Linked DNA regions of Cricetulus griseus. The protein of the gene in region 3 purifies or fractionates together with the protein of the main gene of each other region. This does not show direct contact. Links are inferred from orthologs where the notes say so. Each region holds a gene or a part of one and is shown on either strand. Other genes may lie near its edges. The genes, in order: Arl2, Lrrk2, Tubb, Hdac6, Eef1a1, Rictor and Snw1.

Region 1 (4,026 bases), on a different chromosome or scaffold from region 3:
GCAGGGCTGACCCTGTACTGGATTGTGGGTAGCTCTTGGTAGAGCCATTTGTGACTGAAGACAGTTTGGCTAGGCGGTTGAGGCCCTGCTAGTTGTAGTCATCCCTGAATGATATAGCTACCCATCTTCCCACTTTCTGAACAACTCAACCTGTTAGGAATATCTGTCTGATCCGTCCTTCTTTAGCTATGCAAGTTGCCCACTGCACAAGTTTTGCTGGTTGCACTGTCAAGCTAGGAACTGAATTTAAACTACCTGTGAGCCCCAGGCTGGGGTGGGGAACGAGTCTGTTTTTTTGTAATTTATACTGATGAAGGCAGGTGTTTCTCTAGGGATCTGCCGACACCTTCTTCTCAAACCTTTCTCTTCCTCCCTGATTCCTGTTTTAATGTAACCTCCAGAAAGTCTATTGGTCTCTTGAAGACGGAACCAGCTATTCCTGTCTTGAGCTTCCATGCTCTGCACATTCCTCTAATAAAACCACAGGTATACCTCTGCTCTGATCTCTCCCTTCTGGATTCAAGCATTCCAGGTGAGGGCCAGAGTCAGTGATACACAAATGGCTCAACCAGGAACCAGGAAAGGAGTGCTTTATTCTCTCTGCTGGACAGAGGTGACATCCAGGACCTTGGTAGCAGCGGGTAGTCCCTCCCAGTCCAGCCTTTCCTTTTGGCATGGCAGCTGCAGGTCACTTCAGGAGCCGGGGTGACAGCCCTCGCATAGGGATGGGGAGCAGCAGTGGGCAGCAGTAGCAGCAGCAGGTCACGGCGGGGTTGGGAGTGTTAGTCTGGTCGGCTGGTGTCTGTCCCCCCCAGCTGGAGTCTGATGAGGGGTAGGGACCTGGACAGTGTGCAGGGGACACTGAAGAAGCTCAGTCAGCAGTAAAGACACGACTGGAAATGTCATCAAGGAGCCAGTCGATGCCAGGCAGCAGGTCCTCTCCGGTGACAGCACTGCAGCCCTGGATGCGCCAGTGATGGCTGCGGATGGAGGCCAGGTCCAGGGCCTGGGGACAAAAGGACTTGTGGAACCAGCAGGTCTTAGCCTGTCCTTTCCCAGTCACCCAATGGGAGACTCTAGCTGCACACCAGTGCCACCGTCAGTGACATAAAGTCAACATGGGCTGCTGAGTGTCTGCTAGGAGCCAGGCATTTTGCAGGGACCACAGATGTCATCTGTCTCTTGCTAAGGCCTCCTGATCCATGGATAGATAGATACCATGGTCCACTTTACCAAGGAAGGAATACAAACTCAGGCTCTGCAACCTTCCACATCGCACAGCTAGTTAAGGTATGGTGGTGCACACCTATAGTGCAGGACATGGGAGGTGGAGGCAGGAGGGGCTACATGAAACCTGTCTCAAACAAAAACCAAGATTCTAAGCCTGCTAGATGCAGCCATGGCTCCAGGGCTAGGTCAGCATGAAGCACAGTCCTGGCTTGTTTACTTACTATGTGACATTGGGGAGGTTACTTATTCTGTGTCTCCTGCACCTTTTGTATGGTGACAGTCATTTCTCCCCCATGAGATTGTTGTATAAACGAAGAATAATGTGAATCCACACAGACAGCATTGCGATGGGAAGCGCTCATTGCAGGCTGGCTGCTAGAACCCTGTGAAGTGATCTATTTACAGGTCTGCCTGCTTCTAGACTGGGGGCCAGTCTACCTTATTAATCATCAAATTCTGGGTGCCCTGCCTACATCTTGCCCCACAGCAGGAGCTAATACATGCTTTTAAACCAATTATTAGCCAGACATGGAGGTACACCCTTAAAGCTTCAGGCAGGAGGACTGCTTGAGTTTGAGACCAGCCTGGGCTACATAGTGTGTTCTAGGTCAGCCTAGGATACAGAAACCCTGTCTCAAAAGTAAGTAAAAAAAAGACTGGGCTTAAAAAAAAATAAAAAAATAAAAAAAAGACTGGGCTTGGGGATGTGGCTCAATTAGTAAAGTGCTTGCCTAGCATGCACAAGGCTCTGGGAACAAACAGCAGCACCACAGAAACTGACAGTGTGGTTCACAACTTAATCCCAAGTGCTCTCCAGGTGGAGGCAGGAAGATGAACGGTTCAGAGGCTCCTTAGCATCCTAGTAAGTCTAAGACCTGCCAGGGCTGCTGAAACTCAGTTTCAAAAAACCAAAAATAATAAAGCACACCGGGTGGTGGCGGCACACGCCTTTAATCCCAGAACTCGGGAGGCAGAGGCAGGCGGATCTCTGTGAGTCTGAAGCCAGCCTTGTCTACAGAGTGAGTTCCAGGACAGCCTCCAAAGCTACAGAGAAACCTTGTCTCGGAAAACCAAAATGATAATAAAGTACTAATAACCCTTCAGTTTTACTCCATACGCTTGCACCAGAGCTTGACTCACCTCCTGAATAGCGTTAGAGGACAGTGCTCCAGGCAGGTCCTGCTTGTTTGCGAAGATGAGGAGGGTTGCTCCAGCCAGGCGCTGGGGAAAGACAAGATGGGGCTGGGGCTGGGGAGGCTTAGAGTATAGCCCGATCCCTTCTCTGCAAGCCATGGGGTCATTGGTCAGCATGCAGGGTCAGGAGCAGGGCCCCATGGTTGTCGGGGAGCCCCAGGTGGGATAGCAAAGCAGACAGAGGTGCAGAAACTAGCTACCACCCAGTGGGCATCTCTGCCCTCCATGCCTCAGTTTCCTCTCCCATAATCAGGGAGAGGGTGTTGCTCACAATGATCCCTGAGCCCTCTATAGCTCTGACCATGTGCAGAAAGCATAAGCATGCTGCGGGCTGCCCTGGGGACTTTAGGGTAAATCCACCTGCCCTTCCTCCCAGTTCACAGAACCCTTAAATTGTACTCCCAGTGGACTGCCCTGTTGGCCTTTTTCTCTACTTATTGCCATTGGTGTGTTTGCAACTGGAACCTCTCTATGTGCAAAGAGAAATCTAACTTCTGGGCCTAGCCCTGCTGGGCCTTGGCTTAGCCTCCAACAAAAGTAACCTCTCTAGACCTGTTCAATACTCCAGAGGGGGCCGCACTCATGCTGGTGGCATGTGTCTGTTAGCCTTACAGTCTCATTCATTTCGGTGCACTGGCCTTCACCTAACCGTGGCAGCATTATGAAAGTCCTGAGACAGACAGCACACATTAATGGAGAAATGGCAGTATCCAAACCAAATAAAACTTGTAGCTTAAGATAATGGCAATTGTTGAGCATGGTTTAGTAGTGTCCAACTGTAATCCTTGCACTCAGGAAGCTAAGGCAGAAGATGGAGAGTTTGGAGCTAGCCTGGGCTACATAGGGGAACATGATCTCATCACCACCACCGCCCCCCAAAAATCAACTCTGCCAAAATAAATAGCTAATAATGGAGTATGGCGGCACAGCACAGATCAATAATCCCAATTATTTGGGAAGTAGAAGCTAGTAGATCAGGAGATCAAGTCCAGCTTCTGATGGTTGAACAAGCCCTGTGTCAACAAAACAAAAAACATGTTTTGGTCCAGACAACAAATGTCAACATTAGCCTAATTATAACTTTAGGGATGTGGAAGTTGAGGCTCAGGTAGGCTATGTATTTTCCTAAAGCCACACAGCACAGTTAAGATTCCTATACAAGCTTCATTCGCTCCCTGAGCTTCACCCCCTGCCCTGGTCTTGAGGCAGCTCCTGCAGTGATGGGACTGAAACTCAGGGTGGTGAATCAGTAAAACCAAAGAGATGTGAGTCTAGGTCTCAACCCAGGGCCCAGAAGGAAGGGACCTCCTCCCTCCCCAAGTGTCCTGGTGAATCATGGCCCATGTGAGAGGTCTCTGGCTTGGTTGCAGGTGGAAACCCAGGGCACACCTCCTCCACCAGCAGGCTCTGCAGCTCACGCTGACAGTCCTGCATGCGCTGGCGGTCGGCGCTGTCCACAACCCAGATGAGGCCATCTGTGCTCTCAAAGTAGTTCCGCCAGTAGGAGCGTAGAGACTTCTGGCCACCCACATCCCAGATGTTCAGTTTGAATCTGGGAAGGAAGGGACAATGAAGGTCAGGCTGGTCCTGCCCACTGTGCCT
Region 2 (3,691 bases), on a different chromosome or scaffold from region 3:
AAGCCCTGGGTTCTGTCATCCTCAGCATCGGGTAAACTGGGTGTGGTGGTACATGGCTGTAATTCTAGCATGTTGCATGGAAAAGAGGACTGGAGGAGAGTCAAGGCCATTCATGGCTACAAAATGAGTTCAATACTAGCTTGGGGTATACAGAACACTATCTAAAAAAAAAAAAAAAGTAAGTATTTACCTTTCTTGCTTTCAGGTGGGTTGGTCACTTCTGTGCAAATTAATAGAAGTCTGCCCAGGGACATTGCCGAGCTTAATAGGACCCCAGGATATTGGAAATGATTGGGAGTTCCTCAGAATTCATCAGTAAGTATGACAGATGTGTGGAAATAAACTGCATTGAAGAATTATATATGACACCCTTTGCCATCCAAAACCATTCTGATAAATTCCTTCAAAGCAGATATAGTTTTCTTACATCGATAATTTATATTTATAGAGACCTTTAAACTCAGATTTATGAATTAGAAAACTAAAGTTGATGGATGGTACAATATTAGGTGAGATGACTTACAAACACAGTTCTGTGATTATGTAAATGATTAAATTGTATATCTTTGAGTATGACGTAAGACAAAGCAAGACAAGCTTTTTACTATTAATGGTGGAAATGAGAGAATCCATGAATTCCTTGAAAAACATGGCAACTAAGAAGTTACTTCTGACCAGAGGCCTTGAACAAGACCAGTGACTCTGCAATGAATATTTGCCATTAAGCTGATGGGACAAGGGGGGTGTACTACATAATACACCAGAGCCTCCAGTGTCACCATGGCAAATGAAAAGCTGTTTGAGAGGCAGGAAAGGAGAAGCAAAGAGATTTTTCTGTTGTTGTTTTGTTTTTGTTTTTGTTTTTTTGTTATTGTTGTTTTTGCTTTCATTTGCTTTCTTGCTTACTTTGTGTTATTTTTCTTTTGTGTGTGTGGGGGTGGGCTGCATGGCAGGGATGAAGAAAGGACATCGGGGGACTGGGAGGCAAGCAGAATTGGGGTGCATTATGTGAAACTCCCAAGGAGTCAATAAGAAGTTAAATTAAAAAAAAAGAAGCTACCTCTGTGAGCATTTATTATGCTCTACTGTCTTCATGTGCACATTTGCATGTGTCTGGGCATGCTAATCTCAGTGAAAGTAGACTGTGGCTTGCAAGAGGAAGAGAAAAGAGGAAATGAATTCCCTCTCAACCCTCTGAAGCCTAATCTAGGTGACTATTTATCATCCATTTGGTTGGAGTTCTCAACATAATGTCTTTCATAAGACCACATTCATAACCATAATTAGGTAAAACTTTTTGGAGAAAATTTATAGGAAATGTTCAGAGGAAAATCCTTTTAAAAAATAATGTAGTTTCTGGAGACTTATGAAAGTGTCTTGTCATTAGGTGCCCTCAGACCTAGAGCCACCATGATGAAGATATTATACTCCCAATGTTATGTTACTTGAGAAAAATATATTTTACTAAAAACTGAATTTTATAATCCTTTCAGAAAATTTATATGGGGTAGAACAGTGTGTCTATTCCTAAAGGAGTTATTATAGGCCTTGGTGTTTACATGTTTATCCACTTGTACTATATAGGTGTTGTTAGTTTTTAGTTTCTACCATCTGAAGAGAATGGTTTAGAAAAACAGCCAATTTCAAACTAATTTTGAAATTCCATGTGTCAGTTCTGTAACATTTAATAAAGACCTACCCATGGTATACTTGTAATTAGTCATTCTGATTTTAATGTCCCTTTTGTTTGAGGATTTCCAATTTTCTTCAAGTACAGTTAATCTTCAATATCACTCAGAGACTGTTGGAAATCTCACCTCCTTGTATTCCAGAACAAACCAACCATTTGGGGGGAATTGTGATACTATTTTGATGGGAAATATTCATGTCTTCACTCACAAATTCTCTTGCTTACCACTCAAGTCCAGCCCTCTACCTCCATGGGTTGTCTACACTCCTGCTTTAAGAGAGATCTGAGTTTGTGACCAAGGGAGAAACACTGCTCTCTACACTAGAATATTTTGGGAAAAATTTTGTAAGACGTTTTTCTCTGTAGCCAAGCTTTTCCCCTCCAAAATTGACCAATACCAAAGAGAATTCTGTAGCAGTCATTTGAAGGATGGTGAGCACACATTTTCAGCTCTAGCTGATGCTGTGAACCTGGAAGAGTAGAGCCTAAAAATGAGGCAAAGTCTCATGCAACAATCAACTTTATTCAGAGCATCATTCAATTTATACTCTAATAGTCAAGAAGAGTCACATCAGTATAGTATACAATCACAAGGACCAGCCACACATGGCAAAAATATGTTTTTTTTTTCATGGAGGCAAATAAACAAAGTAAATTCACTCTTTTCTGCTTGCTATACCTGAGAGGGACACAAAAACACACTCCAAGATGAATTCTGTGGTTTTGAAGACACCAAGGTTACAACTCTTGCCCTGTTTGCTTGAAGTTTTCTCACAAGCAATCAGAATTTGCCTTTCATGACTCCATTCTTGGCCTGTGTTCTGACAGAATGCAAGAGGGAGAAGCAGGGACAGAATGGGTAGAGAGATAATTGGCAAGATATCAACAGACCTTCACCTTGCTAGGAGACCAAAGGACATGTTTTGTGAATATAGAAGAGGCTGTGGATAGCACCAGCTCTGTCTTCTTCCAACAACATAAAACAAAATACCACCTGGCAGAAAATGATTAAAGGCTACATATGGAATGGGTAACAGAGATTAAAATCTAGTGAATCTGAGAACAGGTACTATTGATATGAGTTCATTATCTAGTGTGGAATATAACTTTATCAAAGATAGTAGCTAACAATAATTTTAATATTTAAGTAGATCCTGAAGGTTGTGTACAAATGAACGTCTTTATTCAATCTTCCTGTATGTTACTATGTCAACATGCATGACATATAATTCATAAATTCTTATGATGTATCTAAGACATCTCCTCTGGCTATGGATCATCTTCATGGTCCTTTGTGTATTAATGACTAAGTAGGGGCATTTGGAGGAATATAGGTGGGACTTGGCTTCTATCAAGACATAGAATAATACTTCCCTCCTAAGTGTCTTAATTTTTCCATTGTTGTGGGGCAATCCCCAGGCCTTGTATCTGGCAGGCAGGCACTCTGTCACTGAGCTACATGCAAGCATAAACATTTAGGTTTCTACTAAATGTTTCCCTCCAACTTTCCTGAGACATGGTTGATAGCTAGAAAAATGTATGTAGTCAATGCAATTAACTTGTTAATTTGATGCACAGAATCATGTGAAGTTTTTGCCACAATTGATGCAAACAGTATTCCTGGTTATTTCATTTTCTTATTTATATTTTTTGTATTGGTAGAGATTGAAACTGGGGTCTTGGGCATGCTGGGCAAGTGCTCTGCCAAGAGCTACACCACAAGTCAGGATGTTAATTTTATTAGCTTGCTTTTAGTTTGTACCAAGGGAGAATGTATCCCATGAACTTTGATGAACAGAACAAAGTACAGTAAGTATATAGGTGAGTGAGAAACAGTACTTAAATACTGTACGTGCTTTGCCCACATGTGCAGTCAGTGCTTTGTCCACTGGGAAGGCTCCTTGGCTTCTGCTGGATAACCTTTCATTGTCATATGATTTTGCTTTTTATTCTAGACTGATCCTCAAAATGTTAACTGTTCACCATGCCAATGTAAACCTG
Region 3 (4,296 bases):
AAATAGTGATGGGAATCGAACCTGGCTCTTTTTCCGAGGACAAATGCTCTTAATTGCCGAGTCATCTCTCCAGCCCCGTGTGTGGTTTGTTTTCAAGACAGGCTCTCACTTTGTAGACCAGGTTAGCCTTCAGCGTACAAGAATCCTTCTGCCTCAACCATCCTACTGTGTGGGAGGTTGGACACAAACTAATTTTCCACTCATTTATTTATTATTTATTTATTCTGAAACTGGGTCTAAAGCTGTACCTCGGGCTGTACAGGAACTCTCTTAAGTAGCCCAATTGACCTTGTACTTCCTGAGATCTTCCTGCCTTGGAGTTACAAAGCAGGTGTTAACCGTGTGAACCACCCCTGCTGACTCTTAGAATCATTTTGTATCCCTCTTACACTTTCAGGATACTCAGTTTCTATCAAATGAAACCCTGGGAAAAGCTTCTGGGCTCTGACTCCCATTTCTCAGTTCCTGGACTCTGCCACAGCCTCCCGTAACGAATAGAACCAACCAACTGAAAACGACCACTTGGCTTCCTTCACCCAAGTGTCTTGAGAAGCATCCCATTTCATCGTCTGTATTGATAGGACGACCATGGTGTCTTCAGCGTGGTCCCAAAGGCCCAACCCCACCCCACCCCCGCCGCCGAGGTTTACAGCTTTCTCTCTCTCTCTGAACATCGGTCCCAAGCAACACTTCTAGTCTGAAAAATCCTTGCAATTTTGTTTCTCTCTCGAAACATCCTTGGGACAACTCCCTTAGGAGCCGGAGGGCCATCCTTTCTTCTGGAGGGATGCGAGGGAGTGCTGCTCACTGAAGTTACTGTCTTGGGACCACAAAGAACTAGATAGTAAGATCAGGGCAGGGTGCCACATTTCTCCGGACTTTCCGCTGAGCTATGCAGTCCGCCTTTACCAGAGCCACTGCGGTGGGCAGCTTGCAGGGCGCGCCCATCCCATCTCCAATTCAGGGCACCTCAGACATCCCAATTACCGTTAAGTCCCAAAACTTCTTAGAGCACAAAAACCTCTCTCAGGAACAGAGGATAGGAATCTCGTGCGAGGTCACTTTCCATTAAAAATAAATACAATCACACCCACACGAAAGGTACCCACTAAACCTCCCACAGTATCCACCCATGCCTAACTTCATATTGCAGCGTGGACAATAGAGAACTACAACTCCCAAAAAGGACTGCGCTCGCCACTGGCTCACAGACCAATGGTCGGCTGGCACGTGATCGGCGGATCTAATCAGCGGCAGGCTGGAGAGGCTTTGTCTGCGACCAGGGGCTCCCGCCTATCTCCCGCCCCCGGCTGCGCGAACGCGCGCCCCGCCCTGCGCGCCTTCCCTCCTGCGCTCGCCGGCCTCTTCTGCCTCTTAGAACCTTCCTGCGGTCGTGCTCGCATCTCTCTGCTGCAGCCTCCGGAGCCACGTTCCATCCCTTCAGCCTGAGACCAGCCAAAAAAAAAAAAAAAAAAAAAAAAAAGAACCAATTATCTTTTCTTGCTCGGTACCTACCTTGAAGCCAGCACAAATTTATTACAGTAAACCGTAGCCATGAGGGAAATCGTGCACATCCAGGCCGGCCAATGTGGCAACCAGATCGGTGCTAAGGTAAGAATTTTTAAATTGGTACCGGATACGCGTGAGGATGAGAAATCCAGGTTAATCATGATTAATGTTACCGGGTGTTAGCATTCTCCCTCCGCCGGCTTTGGCCCCTCAAAGTTCTGCGCGAACAATTATAACCCATATTTGTAGCTTGCGTTCTGAGAAATATTTATCTTGGCACATTTTCCGAAAGCCATTAAAAGAGACGCCTGGGTTTAGGGGACGGAGAGTCTGAGGAGGGACTGGAGTGCTTATCTAAAAGAGGGGATTTCTAACGGTTCGAGAACGGGAGAGGAGAGATGCGGAAACGATCCGAGACAAAGCCGAAGCGAGGTTTTCCCCTTGCGCCACCCCCACCCAGCCTGGAGGGCCTTAGCGGAGCAGGACTGGCGGGGGCAGGGGAGAGGTTGGGCGGGCAGCTGCAGAGGTCTCCGGGCCGCATCACCGCTCGACAAAGGCTTGGAGACCCTCGCGATCTCGCCATCCCCTGGCTCGCTTTTAGGTGGATGGTGATGATTCCGTGCGGGGGGCTCCTTTTACTTCATTGCCGTTAAGAAATCTTAGGGTGTGACCTGATGGGAAAGTGAGAGGTTTGTGTGTCTATAAGAGGTCCCTCGGGACTATGTGTGTGTTTGGGGGAAAGCTATTTAGGGAAGAGAAGGTAGCAAAAGCAAAAAAAAAAAAATCTGAGGCCATGGTTTTCTCTTTTTTTTTTGCGCGCAATTACAATGTAGCGGGGGATGGGTGGAGAGGAGGAAGTGCGGCCGCTAGATTGTAGCCGAAGGGTGGGACCCTTTGGGGGCGGGGCTAGCGCCCCTGGCGCGCAGGGACAATGCAGCCCTTGCTGGCGGGGGCGCGCTGGCCCCGCCCCTCGTGCCAGGCCCCGCCCACGCTGCTCCCGCCTTTGTGGGCTGCTGGAAGAGCGGCCCGCCACCGCAGTCACGTGGAACGCGTAAGGGGTGGGCGACTGCAGTGGCCGCACCTTCCTACCCCATCCCTCTTTTGTGCTGGCCTGGAGGGGCGGTGCCCACCCTGAAGCGCTTGGCTGGGTGCTGAGCCGAGGGGGCGGATGGCAGTTCAGTCAGCCCATATGGGTGCTTGCAACCCTCAGCCCCTTGAACTGTCCATCACTTGACCAGGGCCACAAAGGTGGCGACCTTCCCCGGTTGGAGGTTCGGTCGTGGAGGCTCGGCAGGCAGATAACGGAATTGCAGTATCAACCCGTCCGCCTCGTTTGAGCACGTCTAGAGTTGAAATGCGGGCGGGGAGGCATCCCTTAGGACTTCAGCCATTGAGGCCTGGCTCATTGCTCATTGCTCTGTCTAGTTCTGGGAGGTGATCAGCGATGAACACGGCATCGACCCCACCGGCACCTACCATGGAGACAGCGACCTGCAGCTGGACCGAATCTCTGTGTACTACAATGAAGCCACAGGTGAGGGAGGGAATCCAGCTTCTTTTTTCTCTGTTAACACTTATCCCTGGTCTTTTTAAACCCTGCGCCCTTCTGTTGAGACAGGGTCTCGTTATGCAGCCATGGCTGCCCTGGAACTTACCTCCCTAATGCTGCTTTTAAAGGCGGCCGCACCACGCCCTGTTTTCCCACGTTAAGTGCCTGTTAACCCGGTTGCTGGGGTCTCACCCTTTTCCATTAGACACCCACCATAAGTGGGCCAAAGATTAGCTCTGCTGCCGCCGGGTGGCAGTGCCTGGAATGGCAGTTTAGTGGTTTGTGGTATTTCCCACCCCAGATTTCATCCTCGCTGCAGAGGGCTCTGACAGTTCTACTTGAATCCCTGTAGGTGGCAAGTATGTCCCTCGGGCCATATTGGTGGATCTAGAACCCGGGACCATGGACTCCGTTCGATCAGGTCCTTTTGGCCAGATCTTCAGACCAGACAACTTTGTTTTCGGTGAGTTACATGGAATGAATTCCTTTGTACCCAAGGGCATGATTCCAGAGGTGAAAGGTGAAGATTAGTAATGATAATGACGTAATTTTTTTCCCTTCTCACCACATTCCAGGTCAGTCTGGGGCAGGCAACAACTGGGCTAAGGGTCACTACACGGAGGGAGCTGAGCTGGTTGACTCTGTCCTGGACGTGGTGCGGAAGGAGGCAGAGAGCTGTGACTGCCTGCAGGGCTTCCAGCTGACCCACTCGCTGGGTGGAGGTACCGGTTCTGGTATGGGCACCCTGCTCATCAGCAAGATCCGAGAAGAATATCCCGACCGAATCATGAATACCTTCAGTGTGGTACCCTCACCCAAAGTGTCTGACACCGTGGTGGAGCCCTACAATGCCACCCTGTCTGTCCATCAGCTGGTGGAGAACACCGACGAGACCTACTGCATCGACAACGAGGCCCTGTACGACATCTGCTTCCGCACTCTCAAGCTCACCACGCCGACCTATGGGGACCTCAACCACCTCGTCTCGGCCACCATGAGCGGGGTCACCACCTGCCTCCGCTTCCCAGGCCAGCTCAATGCCGACCTCCGCAAGTTGGCGGTCAACATGGTCCCCTTCCCACGTCTCCACTTCTTCATGCCTGGCTTTGCCCCTCTCACCAGCCGTGGGAGCCAGCAGTATCGGGCCCTCACTGTGCCTGAACTCACCCAGCAGGTCTTCGATGCCAAGAATATGATGGCAGCCTGTGACCCCCGCCACGGCCGATACCTCACCGTGG
Region 4 (3,691 bases), on a different chromosome or scaffold from region 3:
CGTCAGTTTGTGTGTTGGTCCCTCTCAGCCCTACGGGCACTTTCTCACCTATGAAATACAAGTGGTAGAGGTGGCTTTGTGATATATTAAGGAAAAAAGAATGTCCTTACTGACTTTATGGCAGCCTTAGATAGCATCTTTTACTTTAGCTTTACACACAAAACCACGCCCCATCTTCCCTCATTCCTGGCCTTCTGCATCTCTCCACCTCTTTCAGTGGAATCACTAAGTTCCCCAGCATGGACTGGAGGCTCTTTGCAGCCCTAGCTGGCTTCTGCAGATAAGTTCCCCCAAGACTCCCATGAACCTCCAGTATTCAGTGTTGTTATTACCTTGGGATAATAACAGTGGCAGGAGTGATTAGAAGACATGACCTAGAGTTTCTCACAGGGTCATCATTGCCCAGGTTCTTGGGTTGACTCAGTAGCTCTTGAGACCTTAGACTTGAGTCTGAAATTGGGTGGACACTGAAGAGGCAGCAATATTTACTGACAGAAATTCTGGTGGGAGATCAGTCAATGTGTAGGAAAAATGGGTGAACCACGGGGGGTTAATGAATGGGGAAATGAATAAGTTGGTAAATGAATGGAAGGGTAAACTAATGCAAGACTTGAGAGTATAGATTGAAGCCGGGCGTTGGTGGCACATGCCTTTAATCCCAGCACTTGGGAGGCAGAGGCAGGTGGATCTCTGAGTTCGAGACCAGTCTGGTCTACAAGAGCGAGTGCCAGGACAACCTCCAAAGTTCCACAGAGAAACCCTGTCTCCAAAAACAAAACAAAACAAAAAAGTACAGATTGAAAATTGGAAAAACTTAGAGAATGAATTGAGTAGTTGGTAAAATCACCTTGTTGAATTAAACCCTGTAGCTGTAGGTTGGAGGCCTTAAGTTTGACTCTTCAATTTCCTTATTTTTTTCTATGCTGGAGATTGAGTTTCCACATGCTATGCAACCTCTCAACATTTCTTTTCTCTGCCTCTAGTGTCCTCTATTTCTCCATCCACCGCTATGAGCAGGGTCGGTTCTGGCCCCACCTTAAGGCTTCTAACTGGTCCACTACAGGTTTTGGCCAAGGCCAGGGATATACTATCAATGTACCTTGGAACCAGGTCAGTGTCTTCCCACCTGAAGTGAGCCTAGCCCTGCCCTCCCACCGACTCAAGAAAGGTGCCTGACTGTCCATCGTGTTTCTGTGTCTGCAGGTGGGGATGCGGGATGCTGACTACATTGCTGCTTTTCTGCACATCCTGCTGCCAGTTGCCTTTGAGGTCTTGGAGATCCAGGAAATTTAGGGGTGAGGGGCAACACTGAGGGATGACCTGTGAAGGAGGGTGTTCTCACATAGTCTGTTCCCTTCCTCAGTTTCAGCCTCAACTGGTCCTGGTGGCTGCTGGATTTGATGCCCTCCAAGGAGACCCCAAGGTAAGGCAGGTTCTCGGGTTTTAGGTAGGCAAAGGGGAGTACACTGGCCGGGTGTTGGTGGTGCACGCCTTTAATCCCAGCACTCGGGAGGCAGAGGCAGGCGGATCTCTGAGTTCGAGGCCAGCCTGGTCTCCAGAGCGAGTGCCAGGATAGGCTCCAAAGCTACACAGAGAAACCCTGTCTTGAAAAACCAAAAAAAGGGGGGAGTACACTGAGCTTTGTGTTCCTGCAGGGAGAGATGGCCGCCACTCCAGCAGGCTTTGCCCACCTAACCCATTTCCTCATGGGTCTGGCAGGAGGCAAGGTGATTTTGTCTCTGGAGGTGAGTAACTCACTTTTATCAAACTCTAGATCCTAAAGGGCTTAGAATTTTTATATTTGTTTATTCATTGTTTGTATGTACATGCACATACGCTATGCACATGTACCATGATGTATGTGGTCAGAAGACAACTGTGGGAGTTGGTTCTCTCCTTCCACCATGTAGATTCTTTTGGGGGATTGAACTTCGGTTATCAGGCTTGGTGGCAAGCCCTCTTATCCTCTGATCCAACTCACTGGCCCACTTGGAGGCTCAAGAACAGATCTTTTGGGCCTTGGGGATGGAGTTAAAAGGTAGAATGCCACAGGCGGTGGTGGCGCATGCCTTTAGTCCCAACGCTCAGGAGGCAGAGGCAGGCGGATCTCTGTGGGTTCAAGGCCAGCCTGGTCTACAAGAGCTAGTTCCAGGACAGCCTCCAAAGCTACACAGAGAAACCCTGTCTCGAAAAACCAAAAAAAAAAAAAAAAGGTAGAATGCTTAGCTAATATATAATATATGTAAGGGCTTCCATTCTTAGGACCACTGAAAACAAAACAAGAGCTTTCATGTATATAAGAAGTTCCTGGGGGCCAAAGAGATGCCTAGTGGTTGAGAGCACTTGCTGCTTTTACAGAGGACCTGGGTTCGATTCCCAGCATGGTGTCTTGCAAGTAGGCACATGTGTGGTACACATATACACATGCAGGCAAAACATTCATAATCATAAAGTTAATTGATTCTCAATTTTTTTTTGTTTGTTTTTCAAGACAGGGTTTCTCTGTGTAGCTTTGGAGCCTATCCTGGCACTCGCTCTGGAGACCAGGCTGGCCTCGAACTCACAGAGATCTTCTTGCCTCTGCCTCCTGAGTACTGGGATTAAAGGCAGGTGCCACCAACGCCTGGCCAATTCTCAAAAAAATTTTAATGTGCTTTTTTTTGTAAAGTTGTTCCTTGCTTGGCCTTACTTCTCCATAATTCCTTGGTGCCTCTGCTAATCACTTTACATCATTGTCCAGTAAATTAAATGATGTCACCATCTAGATTTCTTGTTGTTTGACATATAGTATGCACCCAAATATTGTTACTGTTATCAGTATCCTTCCCTGTTAATATATGGCCCTCTGCTTGCCTCCCCCAACAACTCCTTCCCCAGGGTGGCTATAACCTCCATGCCCTGGCTAAGGGTGTCAGTGCATCACTCCACACTCTTCTTGGAGACCCTTGCCCCATGCTGGAGTCCCCTGGTGCACCTTGTGCAAGGTAAGCCTGGGGGAAATGGGAAAGGAGAGCTCTTATTGCCTGCCTGGGGGCCGTTTCATCACATTTCTGCTTCCCTCACCCCCAGTGCCCAGACTTCAATCTCCTGCACGCTAGAAGCCCTTGAACCCTTCTGGGAGATCCTTGTGAAATCAGGTAGGAGGTGGGGGATGGGCAAAATCAGCATCAGACATGGAATAAGCTATTAGGAATATTCCCTTCCAGAACCCTTCTTTTTTGGTTTTTTGAGACAGGGTTCCTCTGTGTAGCTTTGGAGGCTGTCCTGGAACTAGCTCTTGTAGACCAGGCTGGCCTCGAGCTCACAGAGATCCACCTGCCTCTGCCTCCCTTGGACTAAAGCATGCGCCACCACCACCCGGCACCAGATCCCTTCTTGCTTTCCTGGGATGCCTTGGTGGGGATGGCTGTGTGGGTTTTAGGCCTTTTGTCTGGGCCACATTTGTCTCGAAATATGATGGGATCCAGATTCAGCAAGTAGGGTAATCTGAGCCCCTCTTTATAGTCGAGCCCCAGGAGGAAGATGAAGTAGAGGAAGACAGGGTGGAAGAAGAATATGAGGAAGATCGCTGGGAGGCTGCTGGACTGCCAATGGATACATGGCCAGTGCTACAGGATCGCACTGGGCTGGTCTATGATGAAAAGATGATGAGTCACTGCAACCTATGGGACAAGTATGTAGTCAGAGGGCT
Region 5 (4,226 bases), on a different chromosome or scaffold from region 3:
GTGCTTGCCTGGTGTGCTGAGACCCTCGGTTCCATCTCCACAACCCCATATTCCATTACAAAATACCTTTTCACCGTCCCTAGCATTAAGAAACAAAACAACAAAGAAGTTTTTCTTTCTTCTGAGATCCTGCCCGGAGAGGCATTTAAAACTGGCCAGGGCCAAAAAAAAAAAAAAAAAAAAAGAAAAAAAAGAAAAGAAAACAGGCTAGGGCCGGCATGGTGGCGCACGCCTTTAATCCCAGCACGCAGGAGGCAGAGGCAGGGCGGATCTCTGTGAGTTTGAGGTCAGCCTGGTCTACCTAGTGAGTTTCAGGGCACCCAGGGCTAAAGAGACTGTCTCAAAAACAAAACAGCCACACAATCAGAACCACAGCAAAACGCAGTTATGATCCTTGGAACTGTAGGAATGACAAGCATTTAAATAATAGGACGAGCCATTTTTGAGAAGCTCTGATTTCACAAGTGTCAGGGATGGGCTCTGGGCGAGTAAGATTGCTAATGCTGGCCTCTAAATGAGACCACGTGGAGTTGATTAGATTCTTTTCATGTTCCTCGTGCTCTATCAAATAACTGTACCCAAATACACACACACACACACACACACACAATGCGCGCACACACAAAATCCTTTTTTAGCTTAAGAAGCCCAGAATCAGAAGTAAAGCTAACTGTGGGACTTAAGTATTATTCTGAACGGAACTCCCAGGGCGTGAAGCGCGCTTCAGGCTTCCAGAGAAGCAGCTGGCGCTGGATGGAATGAACCAAGAGGCCAGCACAGGGGCAGATCCGTCGAGCTCTCGGCCACCGAGCTGAGCCCTTAGGTTCTGGGGCTGGGAAGGGTCCCTAGGATTGTGCACCTCTCCCGCGGGGGACAAGCAGGGGGATGGCGGGGCTGACGTCGGGAGGTGGCCTCCACGGGAAGGGACACCCGGATCTCGACACAGCCTTGGCAGTGGAGTCAGGAAGGGTAGGGACAGATTCTGGACGCCCTCTTGGCCAGCTCCTCACCGCCCCACCCCCGACTGGAGCCGAGAGTAATTCATACAAAAGGAGGGATCGCCTTCGCCCCTGGGAATCCCAGGGACCGTCGCTAAATTCTGGCCGGCCTCCCAGCCCGGAACCGCTGTGCCCGCCCAGCGCGGCGGGAGGAGCCTGCGCCTAGGGCGGATCGCGGGTCGGCGGGAGAGCACAAGCCCACAGTCCCCGGCGGTGGGGGAGGGGCGCGCTGAGCGGGGGCCCGGGAGCCAGCGCGGGGCAAACTGGGAAAGTGGTGTCGTGTGCTGGCTCCGCCCTCTTCCCGAGGGTGGGGGAGAACGGTATAAAAGTGCGGTAGTCGCGTTGGACGTTCTTTTTCGCAACGGGTTTGCCGTCAGAACGCAGGTGAGTGGCGGGTGTGGCCTCCGCGGGCCCGGGCTCCCTCCTTTGAGCGGGGTCGGGCCGCCGTGCGGGTGTCGTCGGCCGGGCTTCTCTGCGAGCGTTCCCGCCCTGGATGGCGGGCTGTGCGGGAGGGCGAGGGGGGGAGGCCTGGCGGCGGCCCCGGAGCCTCGCCTCGTGTCGGGCGTGAGGCCTAGCGTGGCTTCCGCCCCGCCGCGTGCCACCGCGGCCGCGCTTTGCTGTCTGCCCGGCTGCCCTCGATTGCCTGCCCGCGGCCCGGGCCAACAAAGGGAGGGCGTGGAGCTGGCTGGTAGGGAGCCCCGTAGTCCGCATGTCGGGCAGGGAGAGCGGCAGCAGTCGGGGGGGGGACCGGGCCCGCCCGTCCCGCAGCACATGTCCGACGCCGCCTGGACGGGTAGCGGCCTGTGTCCTGATAAGGCGGCCGGGCGGTGGGTTTTAGATGCCGGGTTCAGGTGGCCCCGGGTCCCGGCCCGGTCTGGCCAGTACCCCGTAGTGGCTTAGCTCCGAGGAGGGCGAGGCCCGCCCGCCCGGCACCAGTTGCGTGCGCGGAAAGATGGCCGCTCCCGGGCCCTGTAGCAAGGAGCTCAAAATGGAGGACGCGGCAGCCCGGCGGAGCGGGGCGGGTGAGTCACCCACACAAAGGAAGAGGGCCTTGCCCCTCGCCGGCCGCTGCTTCCTGTGACCCCGTGGTGTACCGGCCGCACTTCAGTCACCCCGGGCGCTCTTTCGGAGCACCGCTGGCCTCCGCTGGGGGAGGGGATCTGTCTAATGGCGTTGGAGTTTGCTCACATTTGGTGGGTGGAGACTGTAGCCAGGCCAGCCTGGCCATGGAAGTAATTCTTGGAATTTGCCCATTTTGAGTTTGGAGCGAAGCTGATTGACAAAGCTGCTTAGCCGTTCAAAGGTATTCTTCGAACTTTTTTTTTAAGGTGTTGTGAAAACCACCGCTAATTCAAATCCAACATGGGAAAGGAAAAGACTCATATCAACATCGTTGTCATTGGACACGTAGATTCAGGCAAGTCCACCACAACCGGCCACCTGATCTACAAATGTGGTGGAATCGACAAACGAACCATCGAAAAGTTTGAGAAGGAGGCTGCCGAGGCAAGTATTCGAAGGGAAAAGGTCGGGGGGGGTGGAAATCTACCGTAAGCAGGAAATTGTTTATTTAGAAACTAGATGTTTTGAGTGTACTAACTGCGAATCACTGAACAGATGGGAAAAGGCTCCTTCAAGTATGCCTGGGTCTTGGACAAACTGAAAGCTGAGCGTGAGCGTGGTATCACTATTGACATCTCCCTGTGGAAATTTGAGACCAGCAAATACTATGTGACCATCATTGATGCCCCAGGACACAGAGACTTTATTAAAAACATGATTACTGGCACTTCTCAGGTTTGTGAAATTTACTACCTTCTGACCCTTACCTCCAGCTGGAAAGCTTTGTTATTAACGGGAGGTAACTTTTTCTTAGGCTGACTGTGCTGTCCTGATTGTTGCTGCTGGTGTTGGTGAATTTGAGGCTGGTATCTCCAAGAATGGGCAGACCCGTGAGCATGCCCTTCTGGCTTACACCCTGGGTGTGAAACAGCTAATTGTTGGTGTTAACAAAATGGATTCCACCGAGCCACCTTACAGCCAGAAGAGATACGAGGAAATTGTGAAGGAAGTCAGCACCTACATTAAGAAAATTGGCTACAACCCTGACACAGTAGCATTTGTGCCAATTTCTGGTTGGAATGGTGACAACATGCTGGAGCCTAGTGCTAATGTAAGTGACTTGAAGAAGGTGGTTAAATGGAAAAGCTGTAAGGGGGGAGAGATTATAAAACATTTGGCTACTCTGCATTTCAGATGCCTTGGTTCAAGGGATGGAAAGTCACCCGTAAAGATGGCAGTGCCAGTGGTACCACACTGCTGGAAGCTTTGGATTGTATCCTGCCACCAACTCGTCCCACTGACAAGCCACTGCGACTGCCCCTCCAGGATGTCTATAAAATTGGTGGTAAGTAGAGCATTCGGACACTGGACTAAGATGTTTTGAGGTGTGTTCAGTTGTCTTCACCTTATATACTGTAAATGTTTTTAGGTATTGGGACTGTTCCTGTGGGCCGAGTAGAGACTGGTGTTTTAAAACCTGGAATGGTGGTTACCTTTGCTCCAGTCAACGTTACAACAGAAGTAAAGTCTGTTGAAATGCACCATGAAGCTTTGAGTGAAGCTCTTCCTGGAGACAATGTGGGCTTCAATGTAAAGAACGTGTCTGTCAAAGATGTCAGACGTGGCAACGTTGCTGGTGACAGCAAAAATGACCCACCAATGGAAGCAGCCGGCTTCACTGCTCAGGTAAACAAGATAGGTGTCAAGAGTGTAATATTGATAGCAGCATGCAAAACCTGAAGGCAAGATTTAACCAAATGCTGTTTCTTTCAGGTGATTATCCTGAACCATCCAGGCCAAATTAGTGCTGGCTATGCTCCTGTACTGGATTGTCACACAGCTCACATAGCATGCAAGTTTGCTGAGCTTAAGGAGAAGATTGATCGCCGTTCTGGTAAGAAGCTGGAAGATGGCCCTAAATTCTTGAAATCTGGTGATGCAGCCATCGTTGATATGGTTCCTGGCAAGCCCATGTGTGTTGAGAGCTTCTCTGACTATCCTCCACTGGGTAAGTAGAACTTAAGTTTCTGTTGCACTGAGTATTGTTTGGATATGAAATGCTGTATGAACAAGTGCTCATAACTGTTTCTGTGTAGGTCGTTTTGCTGTTCGTGACATGAGGCAGACAGTTGCTGTGGGTGTCATCAAAGCTGTGGACAAGAAGGC
Region 6 (3,691 bases), on a different chromosome or scaffold from region 3:
ACTAGGCTGGTCTCGAACTCACAGAGATTCGCCTGCCTCTGCCTCCTGAGTGCTGGGATTAAAGGCATGCACCCCACCCCCCCCCAGCCTTCACTAAGATTTTTATGACTATTAGAGATGACTTTCTAATTGCAGGATGGGCAGGGATACTTGGAAGATCTCGTGAAAGATATTGTTCAGTGGCTCAATGCTTCATCTGGGATGAAACCTGAAAGAAGCCTTCAGAATAATGGTTTACTGACCACCCTTAGTCAACACTACTTCTTATTTATTGGAACACTTTCTTGTCATCCTCATGGTGTGAAAATGCTGGAAAAATGTAGTGTCTTTCAATGGTGAGCATTCTCACATTTTGTTGAAATGTAAACCTAAACTTTAGTTTTAATGAGTCCAGATACACAATATGCTTTGTAATCTGTGTACATGTGTTTGGTAAATACTTTTTCTCAGAAATATTTATTTATATAGGATTTTTAAAATATACGTTGAATTGTTTTCCCCTGCCCATTTTCTAAAATAGTAATCATCTGTGCTAATGGATTCATTATTGAATGTATCACCTAATGGGTAGCTGTGTATCTAATCAGGTTGTCTGCTTTGAATGTGCTTAATTTTCTGTTTGGCAGTCATATTTCAATTGAACTGGAGAAAAATGTATTGAATTAATGAATCAACACAATGATTTATAATAACTCTTCTTTTTTAGTCTTCTTAATCTTTGCTCTTTGAAAAACCAAGATCACCTGCTGAAACTCACTGTTTCTAGCCTCGACTATAGCAGAGATGGATTAGCTAGAGTCATTCTTTCAAAAATCCTCACGGCAGCTACTGATGTGAGTATAACATGGGAGATAAAGCTGTAGTTTCTAACCAGTAATTTAAGGCTAAGTCACTACAATTTTTAGTCTAAGTAAACTAAGAATATGGGGTGGAAGTTGAGTCAACCTTCATTTTAGTTGCTGTACTTACCTGACAAGGGATGTTCTGTGACCACAAAAATGGTTTTCCAGGGTCCATCCTACTCCACATATGCCAACCCCTGTGATTTCTCAGAATACAGGAAGTTTGATACATAATTTATGATAGTTGAGGATTACACTCACATATTCTCTTAGTACATTTTTTACTGTCTCAGAAGAACTTATTGAACCCTTTTAAGTCATAAGGATGGAGCTGCTAGCTAGAAAGGGAATATTTGTATCACATACTAACTATATCCTCAACTCCAGTCCTTCTGCCTTTGTAAGTAAAAGGGCTTTTTCAGGACAATACTAAATATCTATGATGACTTTTAATGTGCTCCTTTATCTCTCTAGGCCTGCAGACTGTATGCAACAAAGCATTTAAGGGTTTTATTGAGAGCTAATGTTGAATTCTTCAACAATTGGGGAATTGAGTTACTAGTGACTCAGCTACATGATAAAAACAAAACAATTTCTTCTGAAGCTCTGGATATCCTTGATGAAGCTTGTGAAGACAAGGTAAATTTGAGCTGTTTTGTTGATATAATGAAACATTTAGGCTGAATTTTATTCAAATACTTTTTATTTGGCAATGTTAAAAAAGTACAGCATGAATAAGCATTTTGAAACAGAGAATATGGTGTCATTACATAATTATTAACTTGATCATCCCTTTAGGCCAATCTTCATGCTCTTATTCAGATGAAACCAGCCTTATCCCACCTTGGAGACAAAGGCTTGCTTCTCCTCCTGAGGTAAGTATTAAGTACATTTCCTTGTGATATTCTTTATTGTGCCTTCTTGGCTATGTGTATTAGTAGATCCAAATCTGACTAGGAAATACTGTGAATTTATTTTAAAATTCTGAACCATGCCTATTTTAGAATTGAGCTAGTTTTTGTTTGTGTGCTTATGGTTAATATTCCTCTCATGTTTTTTCATGAAGTTTTCTATATTTTTGTTGGGCTCAGTCTGCAATTGTCTGCAATTGAAAAGTTTGTCTGCAATTGAAAAATGGAAGGTCAAGGACAATGTTGTTAGAATTTAAAAGACAAAAATCCCAGGGCAGACAAACTATAAAACCTCAACAGCTGCCCAGAGGAAGACAGTGGAGGAGAGAAGGATAAAAGGCCATACCTTAATCTGACATGGAGATCAGATTCGTGGCAAACAAGCAGCAACATGGTAGGGAGGGAAATGTCAGAGAAGGAGTGAGGAAACCCAGAATGCTGAGGAAACACACAAGTTTTAAGGAAAGCATACTTAGGAAAGAAAAAGAAAAAAGGGAAACATGAGATTTCTGAATTGCATAGATGCACAAGCTGCATGGTTGCAGTGCTATGGGCCTGAGAGCCAGTGATGGGTTTGGATGATGGCTGATGTGGCTTCTTCCAACTGAAAGGGGAGGAGCATCAGGAGTGGTGGTCAGGGTATTCCTTCAGCATGTCTATCTAAAAGCCATCCCAAAAATGCACCGGTCGTTTTATTTGTACAACCGTCAGATGTAGGGAGAAACAGAAGTCCTAGTGTTTGAAATTTGAGTAAATTACAGTTAACCTTTTTATTTTAGGCAGGGAAATATTCCAAGCTCTGTTTGTTTCCTAAGCATATTCTTTGTTACTTTAGATCTTTTCTTTTTTTTTAGACTCAGTGTTCAGCTATGATTTTTCTAATTTACAGATTTCTCTCCATTCCAAAAGGATTTTCCTACCTGAATGAAAGGGGTTATGTAGCAAAACAATTGGAAAAATGGCACAAGGTAACTTCTCATTCAATAATAAGATTTAATTGGTATTTATTTTTTCTTTGGAAATTCAAACCACTGTGAACTACATGAAACCTTATCTAAAACCAGACAAAAACAAATACTTCATATTGTCTTAGGGTCTTTATTGCTATGAAGAGACACCTTGACCACAACAACTCTTATAAGGAAAATTAATTGGGGCTGGCTGACAGTATCAAAGGTGTACTCTGTTATCATCATGGTGGGACATGTCAGTGTACAGTCAGAAATGGTCCTGGTGAAGGAGCTGAGAGTCTGCAGGCAGCAGAAGCAACTCTGTCCCAGACTGGGCATAGCTTGAACATATGAGACCTCAGAGCCTACCCACACAGTGACACACTTCCTCTGACAAGGCCACACCTACTCCAACAAGGCCACACCTCCTAATAGTTCCACTCCCTCTGGGCCAAGCATGAGTCTATGGGGGCCATATGTATTCAAACTACCACAAATGTGTAATGCTAAATTCTATCAATTTTATACTCATACATGTATACTTACCTACTTCCTAATTGTAGTGTGTTTGTTTTTTTCAATGCTAGATTGATTGGCTGATTGATTTTTATGTGTGGTCATGCATGTCATGGCAGGCACATGGACATCAGAGGACAACTTATGGGAATTGGTCCTCTCCTTCCATCCTGTAGATCTTAGGAATTAAACTCAGATCATCAGGCTTGGCAGCAAGGACCTTTACATGAGCCATTTTGTTGTCTCTATTTATTTTGATTGCACTCTATGGAATTTAACCTTGATTGTCTGTTTTTCTACTGTGATTTCTTAGACCCAAATAACCACCAATTGTTTTGTTCTTGGTTCCCTTATACAGACTGGCTTTGCTTTAGCCCTTCTATGCTAAAATAAAATTTTCCGAATGAGGAAGGCTGAAAACAGTTCTGTGTAAGCAATATAATCATCTGCTTATACTTTATTTTAGGGTACT
Region 7 (3,691 bases), on a different chromosome or scaffold from region 3:
GATTTCATCCCTTTCACGTGCTTCTCCATCCTCTGTGAACACAGTTGAAAATTAGATCATCACTGCATTAGCTAGTCATATTTTGCTTAGGAGGCCTTTAACCTTAAAAAATGCCATACTTTTCTATTTTTGAGACAGGGCATCATATGGCCAAGGCTAGCCTCAAACTCTGGATCTTCCTGCTCCCACCTCCCTGCTGCTGGGATTATGGGTGTGCACGACCACTTCTCTGTGGTCACACTCAGCCTTTAAAGGGTTACTTGCAGTCAATTTAAATCCAATCAGTTTGTGTACTCCTATGTCAGCTGCCTTCAACTTATTTGAAATGCACCCAAGAGGTGGAAAGGTGGGCATACAGGTGAAGAAGAAAATTCAGTAATGCTAATTGTTCTTTTGAGACAGGGTTCCTTTGTATAATAGCTCTGGCTGTCCTGGAACTCAAGATCCGACTGCCTCTGTCTCCTGAGTGCTGGGATTAAAGATGTGTGCCACCACCACCTGGCATGCGAATTGTTTTCAAAATTAACCACTGCATCTAGGTGAAGTGAGGCAGGAGTTCATCATGAGTAGTTTTCAGTTCTTCCTTATGTTTGAAAGCTGTCACGATAAAACATAAAGGGCTGACTTGGTAATGTACCTGCTGTCCAATCACGGAGTTTGGATCTCTAGCAGCCAGGTAAAGAGCTGGACATGGTGGGGTGCATGTGATTCTAAAACAGACCTACTCAGCCAACTGGTGAGATTTTGGCTCAAAAATAAAAGTAGAGAGTGACTGAGCAATGTCAATGTCAACCTCTTGCTCCAGCTGAACATGTGCATATAGATATACCCATCAACAGATACACATGCACACCGCACCAGTGGAAGGAAAAAAAGAACCATGTACAGGTTCTTGTTGAAGCCACCAGCCAGCCGAGCAAAATGCATGAGCTCTAAGCAAAGAGACAGTTTAAAAAAATAAGGTGATGTGAATGTGCCTCCTTTGGGAATATGCCCAAAAGTGGTATTGCAGGGTCTTGACCTATGTTGACCCCTAATTTTCTGAGAAATTGCCATACTGATTTCCACAGCAGCTGTACAAGTGTGTGCTCTCCACCAGCAATGGAGGAATGTTCCCCTTTCTCCATATTCTCTCCAGCATAAGCTGTCATTGGTGTTTTTGATGTTAGCCATTCTGATTGGTGTAAGATGGAATCTCAGAGTTGTTTTGATTTGCATTTCCCTGATGACTAAGGATGTTGAACATTTGCTCAACTATGTTCATAGCAACATTATTCGTAGTAGCCAGATCTTGGAAACAACCTAGATGCCCCTCAACTGAAGAATGGATAAAGAAAATGTGGTACATCTACACAATGGAGTACTACTCAGTGGTAAGAAACAATGACATCCTTCTTCAAGTGCTGGACCCTACATACTACAATACTGACCTGTCGGGCAAGATGAGTCCAGGACTATTGTGGGGTTGACCTGTTGCTTTTGAATTGGATCTCTATGAAGTTCCAGGACAGCCAGGCTATGCCAAAAATTTCTTTTTGTTTTCTTTTTGATTTTTTTTTTTTTTTTTTTTCCTGAGATAGGAGTTCTCTGTGTAACAGCCCTAGCTGTCCTGGAACTAGTTCTGTAGACCAGGCTGGCCTCAAACTCACAGAGATACGCCTGTCTCTGCCTCCTAAGAACCGGAATGTGCCACTACTGCCTGGCTAAAAGATTTTTTTAAAAGAAAAAAGTGTAATTGTCCTATAATATCCTGTAGAGACTGGTTCCTCCACCAATACCCCATGTGTACTTTGATGGGTGAATTTTCAAGTCCCTTACATAAAAATGCTACACACACACAATGGACAGTCCATATTTTGTAGGGAATAATGGCAGGAAGAGGCCTGCATAATTTGGATGCAGACACCAACTGCCCAACCTAAATACTTTCAATGTATAACTAGTTCAGTCTGTGGCTGAGCATCCTAGAGATATAGAGAACCAACTGTAGATTGATCAAAACCAAGAATTTCTAGTATACTTCCATATGGAAGATCCATTTCAAATATGTATTTCTTCATTTTTTTCTAGTTCAGCTTAATAAGGAAGAAGTCACATCCCATTTCTACGTTTTTCTGAAATATCTAAATTTTTCTTATACACTCTACTTTTGTATGCTATAAAACATGGAGACATTCTAAAATGAGATACCAAGTAAATTTCAAAATGAGACTGTCGCACCTTTTTCCACATGGGTTTTGATTCCAGCTCTCCTCTCTCTGGCTTTCTGCGCCATTTCTCTAAGTTTCTCTTCATGTTTCTCCTTTTCTTTTTGAGCCATCTTCCTCTCCACTTGGGCTCTCATTTCCACAGCTTCACGAGCCTGTTTAATGAAGTGAAATGTTGAGTGGAACATATCATAGTATAAATATTTACAGCTATATTCAAATTGCCTTCCTGAAGTTTGAGCACCAGTAATCCCAGCAGAGATGATCATCTGAGCCCACAGGTATAAAATCAGACTAGAATCTGCTGGGCATGGTGACACAGGCCATAAACAGTCTGGTCTATACAATGAGTTCTAAGACAGCCAGGGCTATGTACCCTGTCCCAAAAACAAAACAGACAGAACCACAGTGAGAAGCAGTCTCAAAATGTAAGTAAATCAATAAATAAATGTATCTGGACATGGTAATGCATACCTGAAACCTAGAACTCAAGGAGGCTGAGGCAGAAGGATTGCAATGAGTTCCAACATAGCCTGAGCTTGAAACTCAAGATCCTGTCTCAAAATACCAAAACCTACCAAAAATTTAGGTATGACTTCATCTTAAGATGAAACCTTAGTCTACGTCTGAAGACTTTAGTCAGATCCTGTTTTAAAAAACCAAAACCCACCAAAAATTTAAGTATACCTTCACCTTATGGCAAAACCTACACCTCTATCTGAAAGACTTTAGTAAAAAACACATACAAAATAAGAGCCCCCTTACTTGTATGTACGTGTGCACATTAATATAGCACTTCTTTGTAATATCAGTAGCTGATACCATTAGTGCAGCATTTAATCACAATGTTTACCTATCATCTACATTGAAAACGATGTACAACAGTATCTGGCAGTCTCCACAAAATGAGGTCAGCCTAGGAAGCCATCACCACTGCTGGGTGCAGCTCTCTACTGAGTTGTAGCTAGTTCTTGCTGTCATCAGCACACACACAAGTTAGTGTCTCTCTAGGACTAGGGGGAAAAATACGGACTCACAGATACAAGAACGTTTGGCAAACTGTAAACGACCAACCTTCCGATCAGCAATGTATAGCGCTTCAGCCAGTTTGGCAAAATTTTCGTTTATGTGTACAGTCTGAAGTCCTCTTCCATCAGCAGCCAGCCGTTTATCCAGAGGAATTGTGTAACCCTGAAGTGAAAGCAGAAAGTAAGTCAGCTCAGTAGAGCTACAGTCATCACCTAACATTAGCCTAGTGCATACCCAATTTGAGAACCACTCAAATTTCCATTTCTCACACTTCTTACACACTTATGGAAAACAACTAACAATAGGTGCTTTGGGTAGAGGGCCCACTGTTTTAATCATCCTAGTAACCACACAAGGCTGGTAACAGCACTCTCCACATCACAGAGGAATATGGGTTAGAGTGCTGTGTGATGGTGGCGGCAAGTTCAGAGTCAGTAAGTGGGTGGAACACCAAC

What was found.
Region 1: the proteins of Tubb (region 3) and Arl2 purify together in Homo sapiens (co-immunoprecipitation; 3 studies listed by BioGRID and IntAct, counting the BioPlex papers as one, with this or other methods). This does not show direct contact. The link is inferred for Cricetulus griseus from reciprocal best matches to the Homo sapiens genes TUBB and ARL2.
Region 2: the proteins of Tubb (region 3) and Lrrk2 purify together in Homo sapiens (co-immunoprecipitation; 5 studies listed by BioGRID and IntAct, with this or other methods). This does not show direct contact. The link is inferred for Cricetulus griseus from reciprocal best matches to the Homo sapiens genes TUBB and LRRK2.
Region 4: the proteins of Tubb (region 3) and Hdac6 purify together in Homo sapiens (affinity purification with mass spectrometry; 4 studies listed by BioGRID, with this or other methods). This does not show direct contact. The link is inferred for Cricetulus griseus from reciprocal best matches to the Homo sapiens genes TUBB and HDAC6.
Region 5: the proteins of Tubb (region 3) and Eef1a1 fractionate together in Homo sapiens (co-fractionation; 3 studies listed by BioGRID). This does not show direct contact. The link is inferred for Cricetulus griseus from reciprocal best matches to the Homo sapiens genes TUBB and EEF1A1.
Region 6: the proteins of Tubb (region 3) and Rictor purify together in Homo sapiens (affinity purification with mass spectrometry; 3 studies listed by BioGRID and IntAct, with this or other methods). This does not show direct contact. The link is inferred for Cricetulus griseus from reciprocal best matches to the Homo sapiens genes TUBB and RICTOR.
Region 7: the proteins of Tubb (region 3) and Snw1 purify together in Homo sapiens (affinity purification with mass spectrometry; 3 studies listed by BioGRID and IntAct, with this or other methods). This does not show direct contact. The link is inferred for Cricetulus griseus from reciprocal best matches to the Homo sapiens genes TUBB and SNW1.

Annotation. Positions count from the first base shown.
Region 1 is NC_048596.1:53,202,285-53,206,310, reverse strand, and holds the end of Arl2 (ADP-ribosylation factor-like protein 2), read right to left. Parts: intron 3,977-4,026; coding exon 3,814-3,976; intron 2,479-3,813; coding exon 2,371-2,478; intron 1,007-2,370; coding exon 872-1,006; 3' UTR 565-871; downstream 1-564. UniProt on the Homo sapiens protein: Small GTP-binding protein which cycles between an inactive GDP-bound and an active GTP-bound form, and the rate of cycling is regulated by guanine nucleotide exchange factors (GEF) and GTPase-activating proteins (GAP).
Region 2 is NC_048595.1:388,196,266-388,199,956, forward strand, and holds part of Lrrk2 (leucine-rich repeat serine/threonine-protein kinase 2), read left to right. Parts: intron 1-205; coding exon 206-315; intron 316-3,645; coding exon 3,646-3,691. UniProt on the Homo sapiens protein: Serine/threonine-protein kinase which phosphorylates a broad range of proteins involved in multiple processes such as neuronal plasticity, innate immunity, autophagy, and vesicle trafficking.
Region 3 is NW_023276806.1:229,740,670-229,744,965, reverse strand, and holds the start of Tubb (tubulin beta-5 chain), read left to right. Parts: upstream 1-1,368; 5' UTR 1,369-1,554; coding exon 1,555-1,611; intron 1,612-2,934; coding exon 2,935-3,043; intron 3,044-3,410; coding exon 3,411-3,521; intron 3,522-3,633; coding exon 3,634-4,296. UniProt on the Homo sapiens protein: Tubulin is the major constituent of microtubules, a cylinder consisting of laterally associated linear protofilaments composed of alpha- and beta-tubulin heterodimers.
Region 4 is NC_048604.1:114,403,114-114,406,804, reverse strand, and holds part of Hdac6 (histone deacetylase 6), read left to right. Parts: intron 1-983; coding exon 984-1,110; intron 1,111-1,203; coding exon 1,204-1,269; intron 1,270-1,363; coding exon 1,364-1,423; intron 1,424-1,655; coding exon 1,656-1,745; intron 1,746-2,877; coding exon 2,878-2,984; intron 2,985-3,069; coding exon 3,070-3,137; intron 3,138-3,504; coding exon 3,505-3,673; intron 3,674-3,691.
Region 5 is NC_048597.1:189,545,503-189,549,728, reverse strand, and holds the start of Eef1a1 (elongation factor 1-alpha 1), read left to right. Parts: upstream 1-1,349; 5' UTR 1,350-1,382; intron 1,383-2,326; 5' UTR 2,327-2,360; coding exon 2,361-2,504; intron 2,505-2,615; coding exon 2,616-2,795; intron 2,796-2,874; coding exon 2,875-3,171; intron 3,172-3,254; coding exon 3,255-3,405; intron 3,406-3,489; coding exon 3,490-3,746; intron 3,747-3,833; coding exon 3,834-4,068; intron 4,069-4,156; coding exon 4,157-4,226. UniProt on the Homo sapiens protein: Translation elongation factor that catalyzes the GTP-dependent binding of aminoacyl-tRNA (aa-tRNA) to the A-site of ribosomes during the elongation phase of protein synthesis.
Region 6 is NC_048595.1:340,504,563-340,508,253, forward strand, and holds part of Rictor (rapamycin-insensitive companion of mTOR), read left to right. Parts: intron 1-135; coding exon 136-335; intron 336-706; coding exon 707-833; intron 834-961; exon of another isoform or gene 962-1,114; intron 1,115-1,316; coding exon 1,317-1,481; intron 1,482-1,640; coding exon 1,641-1,717; intron 1,718-2,642; coding exon 2,643-2,721; intron 2,722-3,691. UniProt on the Homo sapiens protein: Component of the mechanistic target of rapamycin complex 2 (mTORC2), which transduces signals from growth factors to pathways involved in proliferation, cytoskeletal organization, lipogenesis and anabolic output.
Region 7 is NC_048598.1:116,346,073-116,349,763, reverse strand, and holds part of Snw1 (SNW domain-containing protein 1), read right to left. Parts: intron 3,399-3,691; coding exon 3,282-3,398; intron 2,363-3,281; coding exon 2,221-2,362; intron 33-2,220; coding exon 1-32. UniProt on the Homo sapiens protein: Involved in pre-mRNA splicing as component of the spliceosome. As a component of the minor spliceosome, involved in the splicing of U12-type introns in pre-mRNAs.